2 linked regions of the Arabidopsis thaliana genome follow. The protein of the gene in region 1 interacts with the protein of each later gene in a pairwise test. Each region holds a gene or a part of one and is shown in the gene's direction. Other genes may lie near its edges.

Evidence for each region.
Region 2: the proteins of SDG4 (region 1) and AL6 interact in a two-hybrid assay, tested with the Arabidopsis thaliana proteins (one large-scale study listed by BioGRID).

The regions. Positions count from the first base shown.
Region 1 is NC_003075.7:15,021,825-15,029,564, forward strand, and holds SDG4 (SET domain group 4), read left to right. Parts: upstream 1-2,619; 5' UTR 2,620-2,721; coding exon 2,722-3,075; intron 3,076-3,385; coding exon 3,386-3,532; intron 3,533-3,782; coding exon 3,783-3,947; intron 3,948-4,058; coding exon 4,059-4,085; intron 4,086-4,261; coding exon 4,262-4,376; intron 4,377-4,475; coding exon 4,476-4,569; intron 4,570-4,655; coding exon 4,656-4,749; intron 4,750-4,835; coding exon 4,836-4,914; intron 4,915-5,002; coding exon 5,003-5,174; intron 5,175-5,259; coding exon 5,260-5,340; intron 5,341-5,437; coding exon 5,438-5,603; 3' UTR 5,604-5,848; downstream 5,849-7,740. Other genes in the region: HHP2 (heptahelical transmembrane protein2), read right to left, coding at 55-153, 228-454; MUS81 (Restriction endonuclease, type II-like superfamily protein), read left to right, coding at 6,762-6,955, 7,516-7,610, 7,707-7,740. UniProt on the Arabidopsis thaliana protein: Histone methyltransferase. Involved in stamen development.
Region 2 is NC_003071.7:649,753-656,734, forward strand, and holds AL6 (alfin-like 6), read left to right. Parts: upstream 1-2,823; 5' UTR 2,824-3,084; coding exon 3,085-3,181; intron 3,182-3,355; coding exon 3,356-3,388; intron 3,389-3,569; coding exon 3,570-3,798; intron 3,799-4,383; coding exon 4,384-4,510; coding exon of another isoform or gene 4,511-4,584; coding exon 4,585-4,869; 3' UTR 4,870-5,233; downstream 5,234-6,982. Other genes in the region: LOV1 (NAC domain containing protein 35), read left to right, coding at 214-897. UniProt on the Arabidopsis thaliana protein: Histone-binding component that specifically recognizes H3 tails trimethylated on 'Lys-4' (H3K4me3), which mark transcription start sites of virtually all active genes.

The DNA.
Region 1 (7,740 bases):
TTTAATTTTCCTCAAAACAAAAAATGACGATTTTGACCTCGAGATTTTTCTTACCCGGAGAGAAGGCTAACAAAGCCGGCGAGGCCAAGCTCCGTCGTCTCCATTGAACTCACAACCATCATCCAAGTAAATATCGCAAATCCACACAAATGCCTGCCAAATTTCAAAACCCCGTTTACAAATTTTCAACCAAGGGAAAAAAAAATCAGAAGAAAACGAAAACATACGTCCAGATGTTGAGAGTCTCATTGTGCCATGAGAAAGCGCTGAGGAAAGTTTCTTTGATTGACCACTCACATCGATAATGATTGTGTATGAACTCGTTATCTTTCAAATACCTAGGTAACTCCTCGAACTTCATCAATCTCTTCTCAGATCTCTTCTTTTCGCCGGAATCCATACCTTTACCATTTCTTATCTTCGTAGATTCCTTCACCGTTCTCCGTTTCTGCATGATTCCCCTCCCTCTCTCGCACAGCTCGTCGGGGGGAAAAGGAGGAGAAATCTAGCTACGAAATTGAACTCCGGCGAATCACCCACCACCGTAGATTTCTCTCTTCTTCTTTTTATTTTCAGTATTTGAGAATCTGATTTGTTTTTTTTCGATCTTCGTGGTATGCTTCGTCGCCTACTTATACGGAGATGAAACCTCTTTGAATTTTAAAAACGAGCAAGCTTCGTGACTTTTATCTACGTAGCGTCTTTGACCGGTCTTTTTTACACGTGTCTCTTCCTTATTAGTATGTTAGTTTCGCCTTAGTGTGAGGGAGGATACACCTGATTATTTTTACCCGCCGTGTCAATTTGAAACAAATATTAAAGTTACAGTTGGAAGGTGAGAAATGCAGAATTTGTGGGTCTCTGTTTAAACCTATAGTCTATAATTATTAAATCGAGAACTTTGTTTTTACCCCTCAAGATTTTTTTGTTGCCTGACCCTTAATAACATTGTTGAGTAACTAAAACATATATTTTCGTTTCATTTATACGTTTCCTAAATGATTTGATAATATGGGGAGTGTTGATCAAAACAGATTAAACGAACGAGGTAAATTGAAAGAGTAGGTAACTTTTTATTGGCTTTATGGCATAAGATTCTCCAAGGAGGGTTGATTCATAAGACAAGACAACACGTACATACATATCTATATTTAATTGGTATGAACATGGATTATGTTATTGATTTATTTAAAACGCGTCAAACAATTGGATATAATAATTAAAAACTGAATGAATGGTTCGCTTACCAAAGCAAAATATAGTTGGCCCAGAATTCGATGTTGGCATGTTACGACTACATTGCTACATTGTTATCATCAATGTTTCAGATTATTTTTAATTTGTACTTTCATAGTAATTCACCGCAATGAACGATGAGGAACCATCGAATCGGACTAAACGAGGGTAACAAATTTTGAGTAGTAAAGTGTAGTAACAACAAATGAGTGAACAAAAATCGAATGGAACCGTACGAATATAGTAATAATTTTTGTTGTTCGCCTGCTGAATCTCAAATGATAACCTTTAGGATCTTTTTAGCAAATGATAATCAGTTTGTAATCTAGATTTATTTGGAGTTCTTCATTTTAAAATCAAGATAACGTGGATCCGGTTTGATCCGGTCTAATTCAAATTTCATAATATAAATACAAGAATATTTCAACATTAGCCTAAAAATACATTAAAGAAAAGAGTGTAGTATTTTCAAAAGATTTGTTGTATATCATACAAAATGAATGTATATTGTTTTGTGTATAATTATATACAAAGTTGTCGTGAAGTGAACATATATTCTAGTTTGCTTAGTTGGTCCGTTTTTCATCTAAATCGATTCTTAGACGCCATAATTTCTTGCTAAGAGGATTAAGTATAAACTATGTGTACATGGATGAGTAAATTCTTTGGATTATTTAACGATTACTCATTATCTTTGTAAAGTGTATAAAGAAAGGTGAGTATTGCGTGGTGAACTGTGGAAACCTAGACTCAAAGATCAATACTTTATTAGATTTTGTTGCTAAATATGGTCTAACAAAGCAATTTACGCTAGGTATTTTGTTTGAGTATAGTAATCAAATGAAAACTGAATTATCGAAATTTAGACAATAGACACTAACGAAATGAAAAAAAAAAACGAAATTAAGATGTTATACAAACTGATTAATCCATTTATCTTTCACTAGATGAAATCATAGATCATTTTTCGTGAGTCTGTAAAGATGTATGATAAAAAAAAGAGAGTAATTAATTAAAACATACCTAGAAAGCATATAATTTGATTTAAGTTGTGACATAACGAACCTAAAATGACATGTAAACATATCCAAAAACGAAAACGAAATATCTTGTTTATAACTAACAAACCGAACACTGATCAATACGATATACTTTCAAATCATGATTTGATTAATTTTAGCTATTTGTTCAGTTCCGTTTTGGGAACCGGCATTAATCATTGCGTGTAGCACTGTTATTGGTAGATATGAATGTGGGGGATTTTAGTTGGTAAAGAAATTTAACTAGCAGAAAAAATGTTTGGGGGCAATTAAAACAATATTTAAAATACAAGGACCTTTTTGTATAATATTTTAGGACAAATCTCCCGCCTTAAATTCCCTCCATATTTTTTCATGTCTCTTCGCTTTTCGCCTACCCAACAAAGACAAAACGTAACTGTCTTCTTCTTCTTACTCTTCCATCTTTTGTACTTTCGAGTTTAGGATGTTAGATCTGGGAAACATGTCTATGTCTGCATCTGTTGCTCTCACTTGTTGCCCTTCTTTTCTTCCGGCGGCTTCAGGCCCTGAATTAGCCAAATCTATCAATTCCCCGGAAAATCTAGCCGGAGAATGCAATGGGAAACATTTACCAATGATTCCACCGGAGGAAGAGGTCAAGGACATTAAAATTGCTAATGGAGTCACTGCTTTTACCCGGAAACAGAATCCGTCTGACAGAGTCAAGAAAGGGTTTGTCTTGGATGATCATGTGAAGGATTGGGTCAAGAGAAGAGTGGCTTCTGGTGTTTCAGAGTCGACATGTTTCCTTCCTTTTCTTGTTGGTGCCAAGAAAATGGTATGTTGTTTGTTATGTCAAATTAATGACTTGTGAAGTTTTTAGATTTATTGACATATAGACTACATGGGATTTGGATTTTAGGATATACATAATATCTTGAGTTATGAAGTTTGTTTGAAGTATATTGCATCTGTGAATTGAATTCATCACCTTTTTTTGGCTTTAGTGATGTCCGTGTAAGATCTCATATTCATTTAGATATTGTTTGACTACTAGTTTACTTTTAAAGTCATTCGAATCTTCAAGTCAATTAGTGACTAAGTTATTAGATTTATTGACATAATGACTATATGGGATTTGGTGTCAGGTTGATTGTCTTGTTTGCCATAAGCCGGTGTACCCGGGGGAAGACTTATCGTGTTCTGTTCGCGGCTGCCAAGGCGCTTATCACTCGCTTTGTGCGAAAGAAAGTCTTGGTTTTTCTAAGTCAAGCAAATTTAAATGCCCTCAACATGTAAGATCCTCATTTATTGTTTAGAACTAAGGAAGATTTCTCTTCATTTTTATTGGCTGGCTTTGTATTCAATGAAGCAAATCATATTTTGTTGCTCTTATTTTTGGTAGAAATGCTCAGAGAGACGATAGGCCATCAAATAGGATATACTTAACAGTTAGTTCTAAGTAATAGTGTTTAGGTAGGGAATTGAAATGGATTATTTTGATTGTGTGGTATCATTCAGTTTCTGATAGAATGGAGTATGCAGGAGTGCTTTGTCTGCAAGCAAAGAACACAATGGCGGTGTGTTAAGTGTCCAATGGCTGCTCATGATAAACATTCTCCATGGTCAAAAGAAATACTTCACTTAAAAGACCAACCAGGAAGAGCAGTTTGTTGGAGGCATCCAACTGATTGGCGGCTAGACACAAAGGTTGATTTTTTAGTTTACCGCTTTCATAAGATACTTCTTGAAGCTTCTTACGATTTGTACTTTCATAGAGTTTTACTCACAGGACTGACAAAATCTCTGTTGATTGAGCAGCATGCAGTTGCACAGAGTGAGATTGAGGTCAGTGTTTCTTTGCCACGTGCCAAATGTGACTGTAGTAAAGGAAACTAATTCTTACATAGACTTGCCGCTCGAAAATCAAAAAGAGGGAAGAGATTTGAAAGCTGGATATTTTGTTTTTATCTTACACAATTTCAAGAGCTAGGCACTGAATGTTTATCTACTTTCTTATTCAGGAAGTCTTTTGCCAGTTGCCTTTGCCATATGTGGAAGAGGAGTTTAAGATTGACTTAGCATGGAAAGATTCTGTTGTGAAGGAAGATCCGCCTTCTTATGTGCACATTAGACGCAGTATCCTTTATAGTTTCCACATTCAATATTTCTGCCTTAAAAGTACATAATTCTCATTTTTTCACAACATTAGTGTGTCTTTTCCTTGACTGAGTTAAGATATTTACCTCGTTAAGAAAAAGCGTGATAATGCTAATGATGGTGTTGGGTGCACAAATTGTGGCCCTAATTGCGATAGAAGCTGTGTTTGCAGGTATATTTGTTAATTAACCAAACAAATTTTCTCTGTTAACATTCATTTCGTTTTGAATAGTTTCCGTTTTGAAAAATTTCTCTCAGGGTTCAATGCATAAGCTGTTCAAAGGGATGCAGCTGTCCTGAAAGTTGTGGAAACAGACCATTCCGCAAAGAGAAAAAGATCAAAATTGTTAAGGTAAAACTAGTCTCTAGTTTATGATTCTTGCATTACACTCTTCTTGTGTTTTTTTATCTTGACATGTCATGTTATTGGTTTTACAGACTGAACATTGCGGTTGGGGAGTTGAGGCAGCAGAATCAATCAACAAAGAGGACTTCATTGTCGAATACATTGGTGAAGGTAAACTATCTTGATTTGGTCTTTGAGCCTTATGTTTGTGGTGGAAAGCGACAGAGTTTTTAGTGATTTGTTTTCACTCTATCCACAGTGATTAGTGATGCTCAATGTGAGCAAAGGCTTTGGGATATGAAACACAAAGGCATGAAAGACTTTTACATGTGTGAGATTCAAAAAGACTTCACGATTGATGCTACCTTCAAAGGGAACGCCTCTCGGTTTCTGAACCACAGTTGCAACCCAAACTGTGTATTGGAAAAGTGGTAAAGCATATATTATTTCATATAAATATGTCGATGATGCTCGAGTAAGAGAGCATGAGTCAGTTTGATTATTTTGTTCTAACAGGCAAGTTGAAGGTGAGACCCGTGTGGGTGTCTTTGCAGCTCGTCAAATAGAAGCAGGAGAGCCACTTACATATGACTACAGGTCAAGTTCTTGACCATTTGTTTCTTTTATGTGCTTATAATTAGCCTAAGTAATCTGAGATTCTGATATATTAGCTTCTCTCTTTGTGTAATGGCAGATTTGTGCAGTTTGGTCCTGAAGTAAAGTGCAATTGTGGTTCTGAAAACTGTCAAGGTTATCTTGGGACAAAGAGGAAAGAACCAAACTGTTTGGTTGTATCTTGGGGAGCAAAACGCAGAAGATTGTTTCACCGACCTATAGCCCGTAAACCGCAGCAAGATTAGCTGCAAAATATCTATAAACAATGTGCTTTGATAGTTTGTCTGTTGTCGTTATCTAGTAATCTCTGTGGAGATATAGAACCAATCGTGCTTGTAACCGAAGCTTAGGCCCACAATTGTATAACTGCTAGCTGAAGCCACGGGATAGACCGGTCGGTTATACCATACATTCTTTCAGTTCCATTACAACACAATTATTATTTAACCCTTGTCAAATTTGAATCTGATTTAAGAAAATACATTCCCTTAAAAAAAACTATCTAAAGATCTCGCACTATCATGGCAGAAAATTCGACAGAACAAATTTTTTGATATAACCAAACAGAAGAAAACAAATTATATAAAGACTACAATCATATTACAAAATCGCTATAGCAATCTAAGTATCAAGTTTCATCATGTGACTGGTTTCGCTCTGCCTTGAGCTCATCAGGTGATCGAGTTTCAGATCACGACCAGTTGATTAAGGGTCGGCCTAGTCCCCTTTTTTTGTTTTTATTACAGAAAATACAAAAGTTACAGAGAATACAAGGTCGGGTTGCAGATCACGACGTTACGGATCATCGTGGAATGTGGGTAGAAAGACTCATAAGACTCCATGAATTCGATATGTACCTCAATGGTGCGAGGATCAGGTTTCGGGATACGTCTTTGTTGTTGTTGAAGTTTCTCGACTTTGTTGTTTGATGAAAATATGAAATTAATGTATTATTGATAGATAAGTAAACAACAAAATAGTAAAACCCAAAGATGAACCAAGTGACAAATTGTGACAACTACATGGTAGCTATCCTAATTATCGAACATAAATTTTTCATCAAAAGTCTTTAACGAACCAAGTGAATGACATGTTTCAAAGTCGAATACTAATTATTGTACTGGTTTAAAAGATTTGTTCCAAATTGATATGATTTAAACCAGAAGTCTCCGTATGAAACGGAGACTTACTCTTCGGCAAGAGAAGGTTTTAGTCAAAATCCCCATTTTTTAAAAATTCTCAACAAAACGCCTAAAAACTGAAAGTGCTTATTCCTCTTCTCCGGCGAACCAAAGATCAAACCTTTGCGAGAGAATTTCCCTCTTTTTCGGCAACGAGTATATCCAATCAGCAAGGAATTTTATGATCGCTTGATAAATTGAAACTATTTGGAGTGGGTAGTGATGGATGACGAGAGACGGGTACTGTGCCCTGAGAACCGAGGTTTAGCGGCTTATGTGTTGCAGAAGAAGCAAGAATACGCAGAAAAGCCCAAAGGCTTGTCGGAAAATCTGGAGAGGACATTTGTTAAGGGGTATAGGAGTGTCTGCGACGCCAAGGATCCCATTAACACACTCAAAGACTTGTCGCAGATCAAGTATGTTTCTTGCTTTCTTTCGCTCCTCTTTTCTCCTATGGAATTTGGTTTTCTACTCTTCTTATTGGGATATGGGTTATTGGGTCATTGGTTTCTTGTTTGAGGTGCCCTTTTTTCGCAATGGTGGAAAAAGATGTGACCTTTTTGTGTTTCTGGTTCGAAATTCTCCCCCTTTTCAGTATTGAGTGAATGGTGGAATGAATTTAGCGACTAAGAAAGTAATAAGATGCTCCTCGGTATATCAATTGTATCTTTATTACCTACAGTTCACATACGTTTTTGGTTCCCGTTAATTCAGGCTTTGGCTAAGGGTTTGTGTTTGTTTTATCTGAAGTTGAAGTCATGTAGATAAAATTAGACAATATGCGTGTTTCTTATCCTTGTGAAATCAGTGAATCTGATAGTGAGTGGTTTCTTTGTTTCAAGGGCAAGTGTTTGTTTATATTCATTTTAGTTTCTTAAGCCTTTTTAAATGCAAAGCTGATCTGATTGTGAGTGGTTTTAATTTTTTGGGTGGCTTTGCTTCTATCCAACCAAGTGTCTGTTTCTTGATTGCATAGGGGCTTTGGCAAGTGGATGGTTAAGCTCATGAAAGGATATTTTGATACTGCTGTTGAAAGTTCTGAGCAAGAAGATTTACCTGATAATCGTGCTGGTAGTGGTGTTGGGCTGTTGGCTGTATCTATATCACATTGTACACATGTATTATCAATGTAATGTCTTTATGTATGCTGATTTTTAACCTGTCCAGGGAAAAAGGCCAATGGAAAAAAACGGTACATTCC
Region 2 (6,982 bases), on another chromosome or scaffold:
TTATATTTGCATTGTTACGTCATATGATAGTACTCTAAATTTCTTCTAAACGTGCTATCTTTTTTTGCTAATGCTAACTTTACATAGTTTGTGAATCTTCTTTCAAAACCATATCTTCGATAAATGATATTTTTCATAGATATTGTTAGTCTATATTTGATAATTTGATATATGTATCAAGTCTCTAATCAATGTGCTCATGTATAATTATAGGCTGAAATATCATTGTGCCGAGTGTACAAAAGGCCAGGAGTAGAAGATCATCCATCGGTACCACGTTCTCTCTCCACAAGACATCATAACCATAACTCATCGACATCATCCCGTTTAGCCTTAAGACAACAACAACACCATTCATCCTCCTCTAATCATTCCGACAACAACCTTAACAACAACAACAACATCAACAATCTCGAGAAGCTCTCCACCGAATATTCCGGCGACGGCAGCACAACAACAACGACCACAAACAGTAACTCTGACGTTACCATTGCTCTAGCCAATCAAAACATATATCGTCCAATGCCTTACGACACAAGCAACAACACATTGATAGTCTCTACGAGAAATCATCAAGACGATGATGAAACTGCCATTGTTGACGATCTTCAAAGACTAGTTAACTACCAAATATCAGATGGAGGTAACATCAATCACCAATACTTTCAAATTGCTCAACAGTTTCATCATACTCAACAACAAAATGCTAACGCAAACGCATTACAATTGGTGGCTGCGGCGACTACAGCGACAACGCTAATGCCTCAAACTCAAGCGGCGTTAGCTATGAACATGATTCCTGCAGGAACGATTCCAAACAATGCTTTGTGGGATATGTGGAATCCAATAGTACCAGATGGAAACAGAGATCACTATACTAATATTCCTTTTAAGTAATTTAATTAGATCATGATTATTATCCATGACAATAATTATTAATGCTGCTTTGCCATATTTTCATACTCCTTATATATTGTTATGGCGATAGACAATGATTGATTACTGCGAGTTTATGTAATGGAACTGATTCTCAACATATATAGTCAATTAAGTAGTTTTTTTTTTCTTGTGTTAAAGTTAATTTCTTTAAGCTAGATTCAACGTAGTTAAAAAAAAAAAATTCACTGTAATATATGAATACAAAATGACTAAGGAGTGCAATCCGTATCAAAAGTTCTCAAACAAACCAAAGAAGAAATAAACTTATTGGATTAGATTTTCATGTACGAGCCCTAACCGAAACCAGACTAAAACCAAACACTAACTAAACCATAACAATAGTAACCGTAAATCCAACCTAGTGATATTTAATTTGGTCTTCATTCCATTTCAAAATTTCAAATTGAATGTTGATATTTTTTGTTGTTTATTCATCACTTATTAGAATTCATTTTGCATTGTCATTTACATGCATTAGATCCAAGATGTTTAATTTTAGTTACCTGTTAGTGCGACTTTATAGATAAACAATCCACTAACTCTTAAGAATTCAACAACTAATTTTGAGATAGAAATATATAAAGATAAAAGATGTTAGCTAGTTTTTTGTCTTTGTAAATATAAGACTAATTAGGGTTTGACAAAAAAAAAAAGCATAGGACGTGCAATATTTGGTAAGAGCAGTTGTTCCCGTGATTTTGTCAGATATGACCAGCATGAACAGTTGTATGTTGTAAGAAATCAGTTCCCTTTTTCTCAATGAGAAAAACAAATTTAAACTTGACTTAACTCTCATACTAGTCTTTTTAATCCTAATTATTAACAATCTTTAATAATATATGTAATGTGGCAAAATCCTAATATATACTGACTTGAATATGATACGAAAGTACTAATTTTAAAGTTTTTTCCCTTTCTAACCGGTCGATGTAACCGTATTTGCATGTTTTCTTAGATTATTTTAAATAATATATGTCTATCACCTATATTAGTAAGTATATATTCATAGATTATAGTTGATTTTGCCCAAAGAAAAAAGAAGATTATAGTTGATTATACCACATCATTGATATTCTGTGACGAATTAGATTACAGTTGCGGTAAACGTATTCGCTAGCTAGTACGACGTGCTTAACGCAAAAATATTCAAAGATAACGAATCCGATTAATATTGGTTCGTTTCTTAATTCTTACATCTAGAATCACACATAAAAACAATAAAATAATTAAAAATTTGATGAATTTTTTATTTTTTTGAGTGATAAAAGGCAAAATGTTTTCCGTTTTTTAGTAGCTTTCTCTTTCAAAATATCTATTTCTGGTGTATATCGTGAAAAAAACTTTCAAAATACGTGAATGTGATGATCGTTGAAAACTTCAAATCTCATTTCCCCTAGGTTACTATAAAAGCCCACTATCCTTTAATGGGCCAGGCATGCTATTTCTGTACAATACAAGATGGACCTGAATGTTTTAACTTTTAACTTTTATCTTTAAGGTCAAGTTAATTGAAAACAAAAACCAAATTTGTGGATCAATTTGGATGCCTCAGCCTACGTATAAAAACATGTTTTTTTTTCGTAATATTAATGGAAATGAATATGTTAAAAAAAAAAAATACATGTTTTTTTCGTCGACACTTTTAAAAATAAAATAAAATTTAAATAAATGTCTTTGACCAAAATAAAAATAATGTAAAATTTGGGAGTGGGGAATGTAGCTCGGAAAAAAATAGGGTATGTAGATCGGAATTAATAAATAGATTTTATATTATTACATAAACAATAATAAAATACACAATGTTGTCTTTATTTAATTAATACAAAAATAATAAAATAGACAATGTTGTCTTTATTAATATTACTTCTCAGCCCCAAAATTAATCTTTGATCGGTCCCTTTTGTTTTATCGTTTTAGGGTTTGTAGCTCCTTTCTCTTTTTTTCTTTTCTCAATTTCCCCCAAATTAAAAAAAAACTCTCTCTTTCAGAGATTTACAAATTTCATTTCTCCAAATCCGAAACCCCAAAGTGAATATTTTTCCTTCTGGGTTTCTTTTGTTTGCCTGGAAACATTTGTCTCAGATTTTGATTTTGACCGGAGTACTCATATTCTCCGGCGATTTCTCCGGCGACATCGTTTGTGAAATGGAGGGAATTACTCATCCAATACCTCGTACTGTTGAAGAGGTCTTTAGCGACTTCAGAGGTCGACGAGCTGGTCTTATTAAAGCTCTCACTAATGGTCAGTTTTGGTCTGATTCTTGTTTCTCACTTGCGAATCAGAATGATAAGTATCTACAGAGTTACGATTTTGTGGCATTTGGGTTTTTCATTTGTTAAAAAAGAAGAACTTTTTTTATTTTGGGTTTCTTTTGTGAGATTTGACGATTCTGGGTTTTGTGTTTTGTTTATGCAGATATGGTGAAGTTTTACCAAACGTGTGATCCTGGTGAGTTATTTCTTCACAACTTTTAAAAAATTAGTCTTGCTTAGCTTCTATAGTTTCTAGTGAAATGTTTTGTTGAAGTTGTTGAGCTTGTATGTTGTTGAATTGTGTTGGTTAAAGATTGAGTTAGTTAGTCCTCCTCTGTGTGGTTTTTCTTTAAGGTGTTTCATTCTTGTTTATGTAGAGAAGGAGAATTTGTGTCTCTATGGACTTCCAAATGAGACATGGGAGGTTAATCTACCCGTTGAGGAAGTTCCTCCTGAGCTTCCTGAACCAGCTTTAGGCATCAATTTCGCTAGAGACGGAATGCAAGAAAAGGACTGGGTATCTTTGGTCGCAGTTCACAGTGATTCATGGCTGCTTTCTGTTGCATTTTACTTTGGTGCACGTTTCGGATTTGGCAAGAATGAGAGGTAAGGGTCCTTCTCAAGCTCAGTGTTTTTGAGTGTTGCATCTCAATTATGACAATATTGGGTGTACTCATGTGTGGTAAGGTTATAATGATCATTCTAGCATCCTCTTGTTTTGTCTATTTGTCTGATACAACAATCTCTGTGTGGATTTTTGTAACTCACGTGATCTTATTTATAGGGTCGGTTTCTGTGTAACTCTTTTTGTAAGTGGTTCCCAGTTTCTATTTTGAAGTGACTAGAGTTATGAATCGCACCAATCTGGATCAATGTTATTGAGATAGATATATTAGTCAATAGATGTGATATGTGCCTCTAAGTCTGATTAGTACTTCTTGTATTAGTCTTGTGCAGGATCACTGTAATTAGCCTAGGTAGTTTCCACTGCATTGTACCTTTGTTGAGAGCTCAGCAACAATCACTGAATCCATTATTTGATACTGGTAGCTGACAGGTTAAACGAAAAGCTTGAGCAGAATGAGTTGTTGATTCTGAATCTCATCAAATTCTTCTCTGGCATTAGGTTTGTTTGAACAACTTAGCTATCACTTGCCTTTAAGCTTATGCCATGGACCGATTCTTTTTCAGGAAGAGGCTGTTCCAGATGATTAATGAGCTGCCAACCATTTTCGAAGTTGTGAGCGGCAATGCAAAGCAGTCCAAGGATCTATCTGTTAACAACAATAATAGCAAAAGCAAACCTAGTGGCGTCAAGGTATCTCTTCTGTTTCACCATTTTGTTTTATCAATCTCTGCTAAGTTTTATCTCTTTGTATTCCTCACAAACAGTCTCGCCAATCCGAATCTCTCTCAAAGGTTGCAAAGATGTCATCTCCACCGCCAAAAGAAGAAGAAGAAGAAGAAGATGAGAGTGAAGATGAGAGTGAAGACGATGAACAAGGTGCGGTTTGTGGTGCTTGTGGAGACAACTACGGTACAGATGAGTTCTGGATTTGCTGCGACGCGTGTGAGAAATGGTTCCATGGAAAATGTGTGAAGATAACACCTGCAAAAGCAGAACACATCAAGCATTACAAATGCCCAACTTGCAGTAACAAGAGAGCTAGACCTTGAAGTTAAATAACCAAATTATGAAAAGGTAAAGCGAGTTAGGAGAAAATTATGAAAGAAGAAGGTGAAGTTTCCAGTTTATAAGAAATGCCAGTAAAAGGGACTTAGAAGATGTAAGCAGGTAAAAAAAAAAATTGTATTGCTTAGTCTTTATTGTTGGATTGAGACTATCTACAGTTGGTGATGTCTTTTCTTTTCTTTTTTTGGATTTTTGTTGTTGTTAATGTTAATTCTACTACTAATTTGTTTGGTCTGTTTAAGATATTTTAGTTCTGATTAGTAATTTTTTTTTTTTTTTTCTGATTAGTAATTTGCTAAAATTGTAAAAACTATTATGTCGTTATGTAGTCTTTTTATTCATCTTTTATCTTACTCTCTCTTTTATTTAGCTATTTATTTTGTTTCATATGATTGGTAGTTAAGTTGATTATATCACCATATATTATGAAATTGGTATTGGTCAAAAGGTATCAGTCAGGATTAATACTTCTAATTTTTTTTAAAACTGTTTCATTATTGTCAAAAAGAAAAACTGTTTCATTTGAAAAAATGGTTCAAGTATTAATTATCTAATACTTCTATTGTTTTTTCATAGTGCAAATATACATTGCCATCAATCTTGTTGTCTTTTGAACTTTTGCTATATATATAAAAAAAAAGATTGAAGTTGATAAATTATGACAGCCCAAATTATTACTTGACTAGATCTATTTGAGCCCAATGTTAGACAAGGATGTGTGTTTGGGCATGTAGCTTATATATCATGCCACTCATTTATTAGTTTACTTTTTTTTTTTTGGGTAATATGACTATCTATCCTCAGAATAATGATAATTAACTGACAAAAAAAACACCGTTGTCTTCTACTATTTTAATTTTATGACAATTATACCCCTAAATTAATTAAACTAAAAATAAAAGGTTCGATGAAACATTAGTACGTTAAATGAAACATTTAGTACGTTCAAATAAATATTATCCATATATCGATTATCTTACCGTGTTAAGACAAATATTATTTCGATATTTAGTATGTTACCATGTTATTATTCATATATCGATTATCTTACCATGTTGAGACAACTATTATTTCGATATTTAGTATGTTAGCATGTTATTATTCTATGTAAAATGTTATTATAATCGTTATCATTTTAATTATATAACATGATGTATTTTTATTGTGTTGATATATATAAAAATAATAATATTGATTCATAATTTTAAATCGATAAACATTTATTTAACATAGAATATGTAAATTTACCACGTTATTATATATGTTAGCTTGCTAAACAAATAGTTATATACTTATTTTTAAATATTAAAGTTATTTTGAATCGATGATATTTTTGTAATTAATCTAAACAAGAAGGATATTTCTAGTTTATATTTTATTTCTCTTGTCTATTTACCTAAATAACAGATTTTTATGTATAAATTCTTAATATTTTGTTTATTTTGTTCATCCATGTATATATTTTTAACTCACCCTTTTTTCCCTCCATTTATTAGTTTACTATATTTTTATGGATTTAAACATAATTTTTGCTCATTGACAAAAAAAACATAATTTTTGCTTTTCATAAATTATCTAAAGGGACACAAGTGTGTGTGTCATTCTCATGCATTATGCAACATATTCTCAACATGCAAAGGCTAATCTTGGATACATTAACTTTTAATTAAGATACACTCCCCAAGTTAAATTTTATTTAATATTTTTCTTCCTCTTGCATATATTATTAACTTTTTCTTATGTAATAAAAATTGTCTAACCATTTTCATTTTGCCAATTAAAGTAGTGTTATGTTCTAGGTCCATTATAAAATTTCGCGAGTGTATTATTCGACAGCTACATTCACCCAAAAAGATTAATCTTTTGATAAAAGTTTGGATTACTAGTTGATTATAAAATAACTAAATAACTAAAAGTGATGAAATAGGATAAAGTGAAGTTTTAAAAAAAAAATTATGAACAAGATAAAGTGAACTTGTTAAAAAAAATACATGAAGTAAAAGACTATAAATATATGGGCCACAGGGACAGGGGCCTTCCTATATCTAACAAAACCGTTGCATGTGCTTTTATTAGGTATTTTGTTATTTTGCATGC